2 linked regions of the Drosophila melanogaster genome follow. The protein of the gene in region 1 interacts with the protein of each later gene in a pairwise test. Each region holds a gene or a part of one and is shown on either strand. Other genes may lie near its edges. The genes, in order: HP1c and Su(var)3-7.

What was found.
Region 2: the proteins of HP1c (region 1) and Su(var)3-7 interact in a two-hybrid assay, tested with the Drosophila melanogaster proteins (one study listed by BioGRID).

What each region holds. Positions count from the first base shown.
Region 1 is NT_033777.3:22,743,640-22,747,196, forward strand, and holds HP1c (heterochromatin protein 1c), read left to right. Parts: upstream 1-1,980; 5' UTR 1,981-2,077; coding exon 2,078-2,791; 3' UTR 2,792-2,860; downstream 2,861-3,557. Other genes in the region: vret (vreteno), read right to left, coding at 1-156, 219-1,035, 1,101-1,511, 1,575-1,885; CG17141 (uncharacterized protein), read right to left, coding at 2,861-3,557.
Region 2 is NT_033777.3:13,262,107-13,270,363, forward strand, and holds Su(var)3-7 (suppressor of variegation 3-7), read left to right. Parts: upstream 1-2,257; 5' UTR 2,258-2,409; coding exon 2,410-3,194; intron 3,195-3,628; coding exon 3,629-4,213; intron 4,214-4,281; coding exon 4,282-4,626; intron 4,627-4,681; coding exon 4,682-5,659; intron 5,660-5,726; coding exon 5,727-6,786; 3' UTR 6,787-7,213; coding exon of another isoform or gene 7,214-7,723; 3' UTR 7,724-7,932; downstream 7,933-8,257. Other genes in the region: CG11686 (uncharacterized protein), read left to right, coding at 1-15; ravus, read right to left, coding at 753-1,800, 1,861-1,892; TBC1D5 (TBC1 domain family member 5), read right to left, coding at 7,214-7,723, 7,972-8,257. UniProt on the Drosophila melanogaster protein: Dose-limiting factor in position-effect variegation, the inactivation in some cells of a gene translocated next to heterochromatin. It could play a role in chromosome condensation.

The sequences.
Region 1 (3,557 bases):
CTTTTCACCATACTCCTGTATGTCTCGCTGCATTTTGGTGACTTCGTAAGCCAGATCTATGGAGGTGCAGTAGATAAAGCCGCACTGGATGAATGTGTTGTCCATTACCACTACATTTATGTTCTTTCCGCAGTGCAAGGGAATGTATGGAAGACACTGAAACCGAATAAATGCAAATGACAACTGTGTACTTGATGTTTTTTTAAGTTCTGGCTTACGTCCTCTTTGTATCCCAAGTCCGAGACAGACGGCTCAACAGGAGTTAGGATGGTCTTGAAAAGGCGGTTGAGGCTCCTATTAATATCGATCTCGGTCATCACCACGACCTGCATGCCCTTGCTGGTATCGTACTCACGTGACGAGTACTTGATATTAAAAACTAGGGACTGGTCGAGTTCGTACATGACTTCCCTTATGTTGGGACCCACAAAGCGCCTGGGAACTCCGCGTAATTTAACGGCTACGGGATAGCAGGTCAAACCAGCTAAATACGAACTGCATTCATACAGTCTTTCCAGCTGCGTGACTTCAACACTTCCGAAATCAATGAACACTACATAGATTTCCTTGATATTATCCACGTTTAGCACCATGGCGCGCGACATATGTCCCTCGAACTTGTAGAGCACAATTTGTCCGCAGACTGGCGTACTCTGCAGTTTGGAGGCATCTTTGCCCAGCATCATTACCTCCGTGAGAACTGTATAATAGGCGATGTCAATCTGAATGTCCGCCGAGCGCACATAGACCACGTTAGTCTGCTCGAATGCAGTAATTCTCACTTTAGATCCAGACGGCGGCAAGCCGGGTTTGGGGTACTTCCGGCCCACCTTTTCGTCAAGGTTAAGTATCTCACCCTTGCCGCAAGCTTGCTTATGCTGCTCTGCCACATCGGCGAAACAGGAGGCATTGCAGAAGGGCATTTTGCACAGCTTGCAGAAAGTGTCTGTCCAGTTTTGACAAACCACGCACTTGCTGACGCCGTCTTCCAGCAGGCTTTTAGTTTTATCCTCTTCGGTGACAGCAACCGTTGACCTGAGTGATGCAGAAACTATACTCGTTAGCTAATCAAGGGCACGTGACCAGGTGGCTATACTAACAAAGGAATCGTTCTGCCCGAACGAAAGTGCAGAACGACCTGCGGGATTCTGGTCTCATCCTTAAGCTTGTAGATATCATGGCGCTCCAGTGCGAATTCGTACTTTACATTGAGATAGCGTTGAATGGGGTCGTTGGTGGCCAACAATGAACCTCTTTTGTAATCATCTTTGGTGACCAGCGGTGGCCGGAAGAACTCCGGATGATTTTGTCCTCCGGTCGAGATCGGAACCTCTCTGTTGTGATTCACTGGCGTACGTTCAGTGGCCGAAATTGCTGGGCCTGGTGTTGGCATTGGCTCAGTGGAAGTCACCGGATCGCTGGTGATTTCCCGCTCCTTTTGCGGGCGACCAGTGATGCACTTGATCAGGTTCGGGTAACGCTGCACCCGCTGTTGCGCTGTCTCCAGGGATCTGGAAAAAGGATTATACGCTCGAAATATTGAATGACCTGCGAAAGTGCTTGAAGAAACTCACGCGATATTTTCAAAGTAGACAAAGTATACGCGTGACAAGCGGCGGAACTCCATCTCCTTGATGAGCGCCCGACCGAAGAAGTTGATTAGCATCTTTTCGGTCACATAGGGACTGCTTTTTGGAACCACCAAGTATGGATACTTCGCCTGCCTGGTGGCACGTTGCTCCTTTTCGTCCTTTGGCGGCAGCGGGGCTTCCATGATTAGTTTCTGGCCAGACTCGTTAGTGTAACGGTTGCCCACTTGGTCATAGTATTCCCTGGACATTGGATCGAATGCGGACCAATCATCCTGCGAGGATTCGGATTCCATTGCACCTGAGCTTTAAAATTTCACCTGAATTCGAATTGCAAGCGCGTGCGAGTGTGACCGTTTTCTATGCTGTCAGAAGTATGTTGCTATTGTAACTGTTGTTGAAGTCAGCAAACGGTCACACTGGCACTAGTGAAAAAAACCAAGCCGATTTTAAATATTGTAAACAATCTTGTAAAAACACAATAAAAAATGGTTAAAAACGAGCCCAACTTCGTGGTGGAGCGCATCATGGACAAGCGCATTACCAGCGAAGGCAAGGTTGAGTACTACATCAAGTGGCGTGGCTACACGTCGGCGGACAACACCTGGGAGCCCGAGGAGAACTGCGATTGCCCGAATCTCATCCAGAAATTCGAGGAGTCGCGCGCCAAGTCCAAGAAGCGCGGCGAGAAGAAACCCAAGTGCGAAGAGATCCAGAAGCTGCGCGGCTACGAGCGCGGCTTGGAGCTGGCCGAGATCGTGGGCGCAACGGATGTGACGGGCGACATCAAGTATCTGGTGCGCTGGCAGTTCTGCGACGAGTTCGACTTGGTGCCATCGGCACAGATCGTGGAGAAGGATCCGCAAATGCTGATTGACTATTTCCAGAAGATGGCACCTTACTCCCGTCACATTGCGATGCGAATGAAGGGCGTGCCGGAGGAGCTGCGTTTGGCGGCCTCGCGCACCAGTTATCCGCACATTAGCAGTGCGCCCGTCGAAGTGCCGCCGGAGGTGGATCAGTCCGCTGAGTTGGCTGGACATCTTGGTGGAATCGCGCCACAGGTGGACCAGGCGCCGCAGCACCATGCACCCATGGATCTAGCCAATGATACCGACGATTTGGCTAGTGTTTCGTACTCGATTCCCGTGCCCGGCGTTGGCGACATTGCCATCGATGTGCCCATGGCGGAAAATCAATAAGGACGCGAGCAGAATCGACTGTTCAGTCTTTAATCTAAGCCCCTAAGTTTAATTCATACATATGTATAGCTATCTGAAACCACTGGGTTCGTCCAGATTCATGTGACCCAACTGGCCGGAGCGAAAGAAGTGAATGAACTTTCGCGCGGCCGCCAATAAATTTGTCATCACCTCCACGCGTCCGTCGTACTGCTTGACCTTGTGGAATAGCTCCTCCCGATGAGCGTACTCCGCCAGCACGGCGCTGATGTCGTCACTGGGTCCGGAGCTGAGCTTTAGCATCTCCACGTAGTCGTATTTGCGGTGGCTATTCAGCCAGTACAGCAGATAGTCGGCTATCAGATCCTCGCCCACAATATGATCGGGAAGGCAGCCCACCAGGGCCAGTTTCATGCCCATTTCATCATCCTTAATGGAGGGCTGGAGGATGCCGGGTGTGTCGATCATGTAAACAGGCGGATTCTCTTGGATTTTGATGCGTTCGCCGACGGATCGAGTTATACCCGCCTCGGCACCCACGCGTGCGGCGCTCTTCTTCTTGAGATGCACATTTCGCAGCACATTGATCACGGAACTCTTGCCCACATTGGGCACGCCGATGATCATCAGATTGTGCTCGGCAGCTTGGGTGCGATTGAAGCGACTGCTCTCGCTCACGAGGCGCGTTGCCAGGGGCAGGATGTCCAGCACGCCGTTGTTGCGCTGATCCTTGCAGTTGGTGAACAGGATGTGCTGCAGTTCGGGCTGCTGTCTCCTCAGCTGCTGG
Region 2 (8,257 bases), 9.5 Mb from region 1:
AAGCAAGCTTTTTAAGGGGGATATTTCCCCAATATCAATTAACTAAGTGCCTTACTGATAACTCTTGTTTTCAATCATTTTTTACAATTTTACAAATAAAGATTTATTAACTTATATTTATAATTACTGGCATTTTTTCAATTGATTGATTCTGATTGATTCAATCTGATATTACATGTTGTTTGTTCGTTACAGTTGATAAATTCGCCTGATGGAGTGATTTTTACTATCTTTACCTACAGAACATACATTAAACTATCATGCGATAAACTTTTTATCACATGGTATTGTACATGCGTAATATTTACCCTTCAGAGAATTCGCTTTGTATCATTCACAATAAGTAAATCACAATTGTTACCCACACACAAGAAGTGGTTTCCATTGATTACAGCTCTTCCGTGATATCATTCTCTGAGAAAATTCACAATTTATACTTTGCTGGCAAACCAAGGTCAGGAAAACACTTTTTGAAATGCAGTTAGTGAAATATTAAAGCGAACCTAATACCTTAATGAGCCCATTTATTGGGCACTTAAATTTCTAAACGGATGAAATGTAATGAAGCCATTTCATAGAACAAAAACACCATCAGATAGATTTAAAGAATAAATGCACGCCACACTACAACAACTAATAAATAACTTTATTAATGAAAATCAGTTAACAAAATTAAAAAATGAAAGCACTAGCATATATTCTAATTGCCGTATTGAGCACGGTTTGGAACCGATTCCAAAGTCCAGGTGAATTTATTTGGTGGTAGAAGCCACTGTCGCATTCTGCTGACCACTGCCTGAGGCTTCAGCTGCTCCAGACCTGGAGTTTCCCGCGAGATCCGGAAGTCCGGCGACCTCAGAGAGCGCCTCCTGTTCGCAAAGAGCACGCAACTCGAGCTCCCCAATGAGCTGCATTACCCGGATCTTACCCTCGGTGGCCAGTTTGGGCGGCAAGTTCTTGACGGTGGCACATATGCTGTCGAAGAACAGCTCCAATGAGTCGCGCGGTGGCGTTATAGGTGACAATGGTTGCAGTTGATAAGATTGCAGCGGGCGGGCAGCATAGGAGGGCGTCGTGTGTATAGGCGTTATGGTGGCCTTGGAATTGATCTCCTGAGCTTGGCACATCCCACTGAGTGGAGTACTGTGCACTGGAACTTTTTTAATGGTGATCCTGCATGGCGGAGCTACTGTTGCTGTTGCTGAGGATGTGGGATAGGCGGAGACAGTGGTCGGAAGACTTTGAGGCCCCTCGTTGATGGTCACGTGTAGTGGCAGATAATCCAGCATGCCAGAATTCTGTGAGTCGGTCTCCGAAGTGCGGCGCTGCTGCTTAATGACGGGCTCCGTTTCGAGATCATTTTGTGCTTCCAGTTCTTGAGTCCGCTTCTCATCGTCCTCGCAGTCGCCCTCTGTTTCGTCAAGTTCTCCCTCCTCCTCATCTTCTGTCTCGTCGTCTTGGGGATCTGTTCCGTATTGTAGTAGACCCTCCTCGTCCTCGGTATCCTCCCACTTCATCGCACCGGAGCTGGATCCATTGAAGCTCGAATTGTTTGCCTTGGCTGGCAATGATTTTCTTTGTGCATTTTCCGAGTGCTTAATGCTACCCTCGTGCTTTCCCAGATCAGATCTCTTGCAGCTGAGCCTGCACTCGCACACCGCGCAGAACACGAAGTGCGGATCCGTCTCATCCGGGAGCAACCACGGATATATCGCCTGGTACTCCGGCTTTGTCTTGGGTCGAGGATATTTCAGCAGGGCGCACGGCCGGCGTGGCCTGTATTCGGAGCGTAGGGCATCTCTGGGCGGCGAATATAGTCAGTGAACATAAGACCCTGGTCTCTTACTTTGGTATACTCACAGTTTTTCCTGAGTTAACTGGAGGTTTGACATTTGGGTAGTCTTTTCCAAAATATAAACAAAATCCAGTGAGGTATGACCGTGCGCACATGCATAGAAATACCGCATAACCCGTTTTGCACATGCTGTAAGAGTTGTCACCCACACCGGTTGTTTGTTTCTACACACTTTATTTTAAATATTCAACGATATATGAATCATATGCTAATGCATGTAATTTCTTTATATGCTTTCTAAGCATAATGTTCATGTAGTTATTAAATAAATAATTGCAGTTATACTATGAACAGTACGTTTTAAGACCGTTCTCAATAAAGTGACCAGTCCAGTCCCTCAGTTGCATTTTATGTATTTTTTGAACTTCCTTAGTATATGGTCCTTAGCCCGCCGGTTTAATGCAACAGTACGGTCACATTGGCCATCGCCTTGACAGCGATTCTGAGTTTTCGCTTGCGATTATTTTTATTTTTTTAGTTTATAACCGTATACTGTGATCTCCCAAAAGCTAACAAATATTAGAGCAAAGTGCCTGGATAACCAGTATCTCGTGATGGATCGGGATTCGAGCATGCAGGCGAAAAACCTAGATGCTCAATGCAACCCAGACCTCAAAATGGCGTCTGCAAATTCAGAAACTTTAGCGTCGGCAACGCACGAGCTGAAAATTATGGACGTAGAGGGTGGTGCTCTGGTGGATCCGGATCACATCGAGGAAGTGGAGACCTCCATGGTCATCGTGGTGGATGATGACGATGGGGATGTGGCCATGGTGGTGGAGGAGGACAAGCACCCGATGCGGGATGACCCGTGTATTGAGGACATCATGGATGACGAACATGCTCCATTGGTGGCCGAGCTACAGTCCGCTCTAAATAACCCAGACGACAAACAGGCCAGCGAGGATCCCCTCCTGGAAGACCAGGAACGTGAACCCGATGCCATGTCCACTAAAACTGAACCCTCCAGCGATGCGGAGAGCTCCCATTCGTACCACGATCCCATGGGCCTGCTGGAGAGGATTGAAATCCATGATCCGGGAGACAGCCAGGATGACGACGACGAGGATGACGAAAGCAGCAATGGCGGTGGCGTTGACGGAGGCATGCGCCGCAAGATGCCCCGCGCACAGCGCTGGCTCCTCTGGATGAAGCGTTGGCCCTGGATCCTACACGAGGACTCCGATGGCACCTTAGCGTTCTGCCTTTACTGCAACATATCCATTAACGTGAACAACCGCTCTAGACACATCCAACAGCACAACGTGTCGCTCTCCCACCAGGAACGCGAGTGCAACTATCTGGCATTCAAGAAAAGTGAGGAGGAAACTCGAGGAGCGTAAGTGTCACAGTTTTAAAGATTACAAAAAAGAGTACAGAAATCTAAAATTCGGAGAAATCAAGTTAATTAATCCGCCGTATAAAGTAAAAGCTCAACTCTTCAAATGCCTTTCACTTTGTAAAGGGTTTGTACCGAAATCCAGAAAGCCCACTGTAGTGTGAAAAAAACTGCCAACTTAATGAAGGGAGCACTGCTCCGAGTCCGCATTAATTTTCCAACGTGTAGCAATTGTTTGACACAAAGAAACTGGTGTATGATAGGCTTGGTCGCGGTTCAGAATAGATTTTACATATATTACACTCCCTGCTTTCAATGAGGGTAGCTCTACTCGTAATGTTAGTAAGATTTGCACCTTTAAAAAACGAAATACCGAAATCATATTGAGATCACCGAAAGTTTGCGAACACTTATTAACTCCCAATTATCCGTAGAATCAGCGACAACGAAATCAAGCACGAATTCGGCACCAAGAGCTATGTGGCCGCCATGAAGCAAAAACGAATCTCCGAGACCGAGGCATTTAACAACTTCAACTGGCTGCGTTGGCTCCGTTGGCATCCTTGGCTTGAACGTTCCATGCCCACAGGGACCATCGGGACATGTCGCATCTGCAGCGTGCGAATGAACGTGGAGTTTGTCTATTTGCGCAAGCGCCACGAAACCACCAAAGGTCACATGGAGGCACTGCGCAACCTAGATTCCGATAAGCGGAGTCGGAAGCGAAAGAGGAGCAAGAGCAACAGCGTGACCAATAGCGGCGGGGATGAGGCCGAGCGAGAGAAGGAATCTGAACCAGAAGTTGGGCCGGAGGATGCTCAGGACACCCCTGTGGTTATGATGAACGGCGATGTGGACTCAGGCGACGACCCTGGCAAGTGGTGTGCACTGATTCCGGACACCAATCCACAGCAATGCCGATGTACGCTCTGCAACTGCACAATGGCGATTACCAGCTTCCTACGGCACTGTAAAACCAGAGCTCATTGTCACATGCTATCGACACCCGCTGAAAAGGGGTGAGTTGACACTCCTACAGAACGTAAATAGCACCTGTTCTTTAACTGCTTTCACTTTTTTACCTCAGCTCTTCAGATATTCGCGGCATTTGGGCCGTGTTCGCCGACATGCATCCTTGGTTGATTGCTGATCCCGAAGACCCCAGCATTGGGTACTGCAGCGTCTGTCGCAAGCGATTCATGTATGGAAACTCAGAGATCAAGCGCAAGAATCACGAAAAATCCGAGAAGCATACCTTGGCTTTGGCCAGCGCCAAGGCAGGCATCGAAGTTGGTTCGGCTGACGGCAGAGGCGGCGATAACATGGATGAAGAGGAAGCGGCGGCAAGTGATCAAGCCCAGTCATCGCAGACCGATGACAGCGAAGATAATGACGATGACAATTGGTCCGAGATCCAAAAACTCGGAAAAGGGTATGTTGCTTAAAATATTTTTAATTTTTACTTTAATAATAATAATTTCGTATAGTTTTGCTCATAAGTCCTCTAGCGAGCCAAGAAAGGCCACGGTTCGCGCTGGGGTACGTTTTTACCCGTGGCTTTGCTACTCCAAGGACCGAAAGACTCAGATTTGCAAATTCTGCCGCGTGCGCTTTCACAACGAAGCGGCAAAGGCGCGGCATGAGTTGAGTGCCCGGCATGTAAAGCTGGTAAAGCAGTTCAAAATGCGGCAAGCGAAACTGCACCAGGGCACAAACACGCAAACTAAACATAATGCGCAGGATGATGAAGAATCACAGGAACAGGACGAGGAATATGGAGAAGAAGAGGAGGACGCAGAAGAAGATTCCCAAAGCAACTTCGACTTGGGCACCGTGCAGGCAAGAAAGACTGCTCGAGCGGACAATAAGCTTTTTGTCAAGCCCATTCCGGCAACCATGAAGGGCAAGGTTATGGTGTGGAAGGGCCGCTTCCCGTGGCTCTCCTACAAAAAGAACGAGCAGCGTGGAAACTATGCTTGGTGCAAGCTGTGCGAAGTGTCTCTCTACCTGCCCTCATCCAAGTGGGCCTCCAAGCACCAGAGGACTTCCCGACACATACGCCTCCGCATTGATCGAAAGCGCAATGGTGGCAACCCTTTGAAAACATCGAACAAAAACTCAGGTGAAATATCCACTGTTGTGGCCACAGCTTCGGCTTTGGCCAGCGCCGAGGCTAGACAGAAAGCGGCTATGGCAGAGCTGCAAGCGAAGTACGACTGGCTGGATCCTGATGCCAATGACGAGAATCACTGTCACTGCCGTGTTTGTGATAGCCGGCTGCCGATCAAGGTATTTTACCTGCGGCAACACGACGCTTCGCGTAAGCACGTCGAAAATAAGGAGCGGCAAAGGGCCAATGCCGCCGCTGCCGCCAATGCACCATCAGTTAGTCCCACTTCCACCGTTGATGCGGAAAGGCAGGAGTCTGGAATGGACAAGGAGAGCGAAAACGATATGAGCGTTCGGTGAGTTTAGAATTCGAAATCCCTTCATTAAGCGTTTCTAATAACCACACTCATTATGGCTACTTAGATCCGATGGCAGCACAGCGGAACCGCTGGCGAAGCGGTCCCGACGCTCAATGGAGGTTCGTCGCATAATACGCGCCCTTCGCGACTCAATGGGCAAGCGACAGGAAGAACGCTCCCAAATGGACATGGCCAGGGACATGATATGCTCGTCGTTTGATATTGTTACACGCTTGCGAACTTTGGAACGGGAGTCGGTCGCACATAACGAGTCTATGGCCCAGGCGCCGCCATCGGTGACAGTGTCACCGATTAAGCCACCGGAGCCACGACATGTAATGGATCTCTTCTTTGACAGCATTTCGCCGACCATGAAGTCCCTGCCGCCGGATTTAGCCGCAGAGGGCAAGTCGAAAATCATGCAGCTCGTTTGTAGCTTGGAGCTTCGAGCCATGCAGAGAAATGCGACAACTCCAACCCCAGCTACAGTTTCTGCTTCCTCGAAATGGCCTTCTTCAACTACGGTGACCCCAGTTAAAACTCCTCCTGCTCCTATTTCAGCTCCCCTTGCTTCTGTCGATGCAGATTTGCATTCCTCGGTTGTCACAACACCGCATGAATACAATAATGGGCAGAACAATAATAACGACAAGGAAACCGTACCGAAAGAGCCAGTTACCGGGGCTTCCTCTGCCCAAGTGACCATCAATGGGAGCGCCAAAGACCTGCCAGAGAATATACGCCGTATCTTAACTTCCAACCAAACGCAAGTGACCAACCGCCTCGAGACGGATTCCGTGCGTTGTGTACCTCTTGACAAACTAACAACACAGAGTCGGACCAACGTGAACGGACGACTCAGTCAAGGTGGCACTTCGGAAGCACCATCCACCCCACAGGCGGACCTTAGCAATGGTAACACGTTGGCCATGATCAGGCAGATACGGGTTAACAATAACAACAGTTCCAAGATCACCGTTACTAATACGCCTCAGATGCAACAGCCGCAGCAGGCACAGGCAAGCATAACGTCCTCGACTCCAATAATGCGTGGTGGTCCCAGCAGCAACGGTTGTCAAATCACAACATTTCGGACAATGGTGAACCATAACCGCAGGCCATAGAGCTCCTAGGAAATATGAATCAAACGTAACTTAAGACTTTATCACTGTCATTATTTAAATTCGACTCAATCAGATATACTTTACGTTAATGATGAATACTTGCAAGCAATTGTTCAAAATTTAGAATACACAAACGATGGAGCTTCTTCCAAGATATCACATAGAACACTACTCCTTCAACGAACTACGAACCTGTTGCTTCCGAAACTTGCATGTTTTGAAGACGATTTGTTTCGAAACCATTCCAATACCCGAAAAATTTTTATTTTTCATGGAGAAAATTACAAACTATGGACTTATTCAAGTCCAAAATATAGTAAACTTTATGTCTTTTAATTATAATCCTTACTAATTCCGGTTTATCCACTTTGTGGCTGCTCTGTTTAAGTCTAAATTCAGTTTCAGTCGTTAGGAGTGGACCTTACGATCAACTCGATTCGTTTCGATGCCGTTGCTGAGGCTCCGCAGCTGGCAATCCGTTTTGCACCACCGCGTTTCCAGGTTTCTCATCGCTCGTTATCGTGGACAGCTCGATTTCACGCAGTTCCCCGAGGAGCCGTCGCATCGAGCTGTGCATAAAGGCGTTCTCAGGCATCTGATAGCCACCAGTCGCAGAGAGAGCAGCCGGTGCGTTAGCGGGAGTGGAGGAAGCCGTTGGCTTTGGCGGTTTGCTGACAGTGTTTAGCTGCTTCTGCTCGTTGGCCTCCAGAGCCTGGTCGATGGGCGCCGATCGCTGGTGCAGCGGGAACATGAATTTAACGTCCAGAAAGCTGCATAGCTCTTCAATCCCGTCCAGTGTCCGACCGAGTTCTTCGCTACCATTCGCCTGCTTTCCCACATGATGGCGCACAGTGCTCAGGTAGCTCTGCAACTTGCTTCGCGCTATCTTGATTACAGTTTGGGCATTCTTCAGCTCCAATCGGAGTAGCTCTGGACTCTGCAAGGGCCAATACAAATATTTCTTAGGAACAGGTCTTTGTAATAAAATCATGAAAGTAAATGTTACGTTATAAATTTTAAAGTATTTAAGAATTGACTCACTAAAACCCTACTTAGAAAATATGTACAAAAGATTGGCTTAGATTTAAGTAGTTTTGTTTTGTTATAATTAAATATAATTTAATAAACGGTTAAATATGGTAACAGAAACACGTATACGACATTCATATATTAAAGCACACTCACATTCTCCAAGTATCCATCCATTGCAACTCGATGGGTATCTTGCAATTTGGCCAGAGCAGAAGAATCCGCCGCATTGCGCTCCTGCATGAAGGTGATCTGCCGATCGATCTGGCTACCACTAGTGGCCATCGAAGAGTTTTCTGAATTGGTGCGCGGGCGTTGTCCCGCAGGAGGGGGCACATCCTTGTCCGCGGAACTGTTGGCAAAGGACACACACGTGAAGGCGTTTGGCGGATACTCAAACTGCTTGGGATTGAGCATGAATAGGGCATGTCTCAGCACCAGA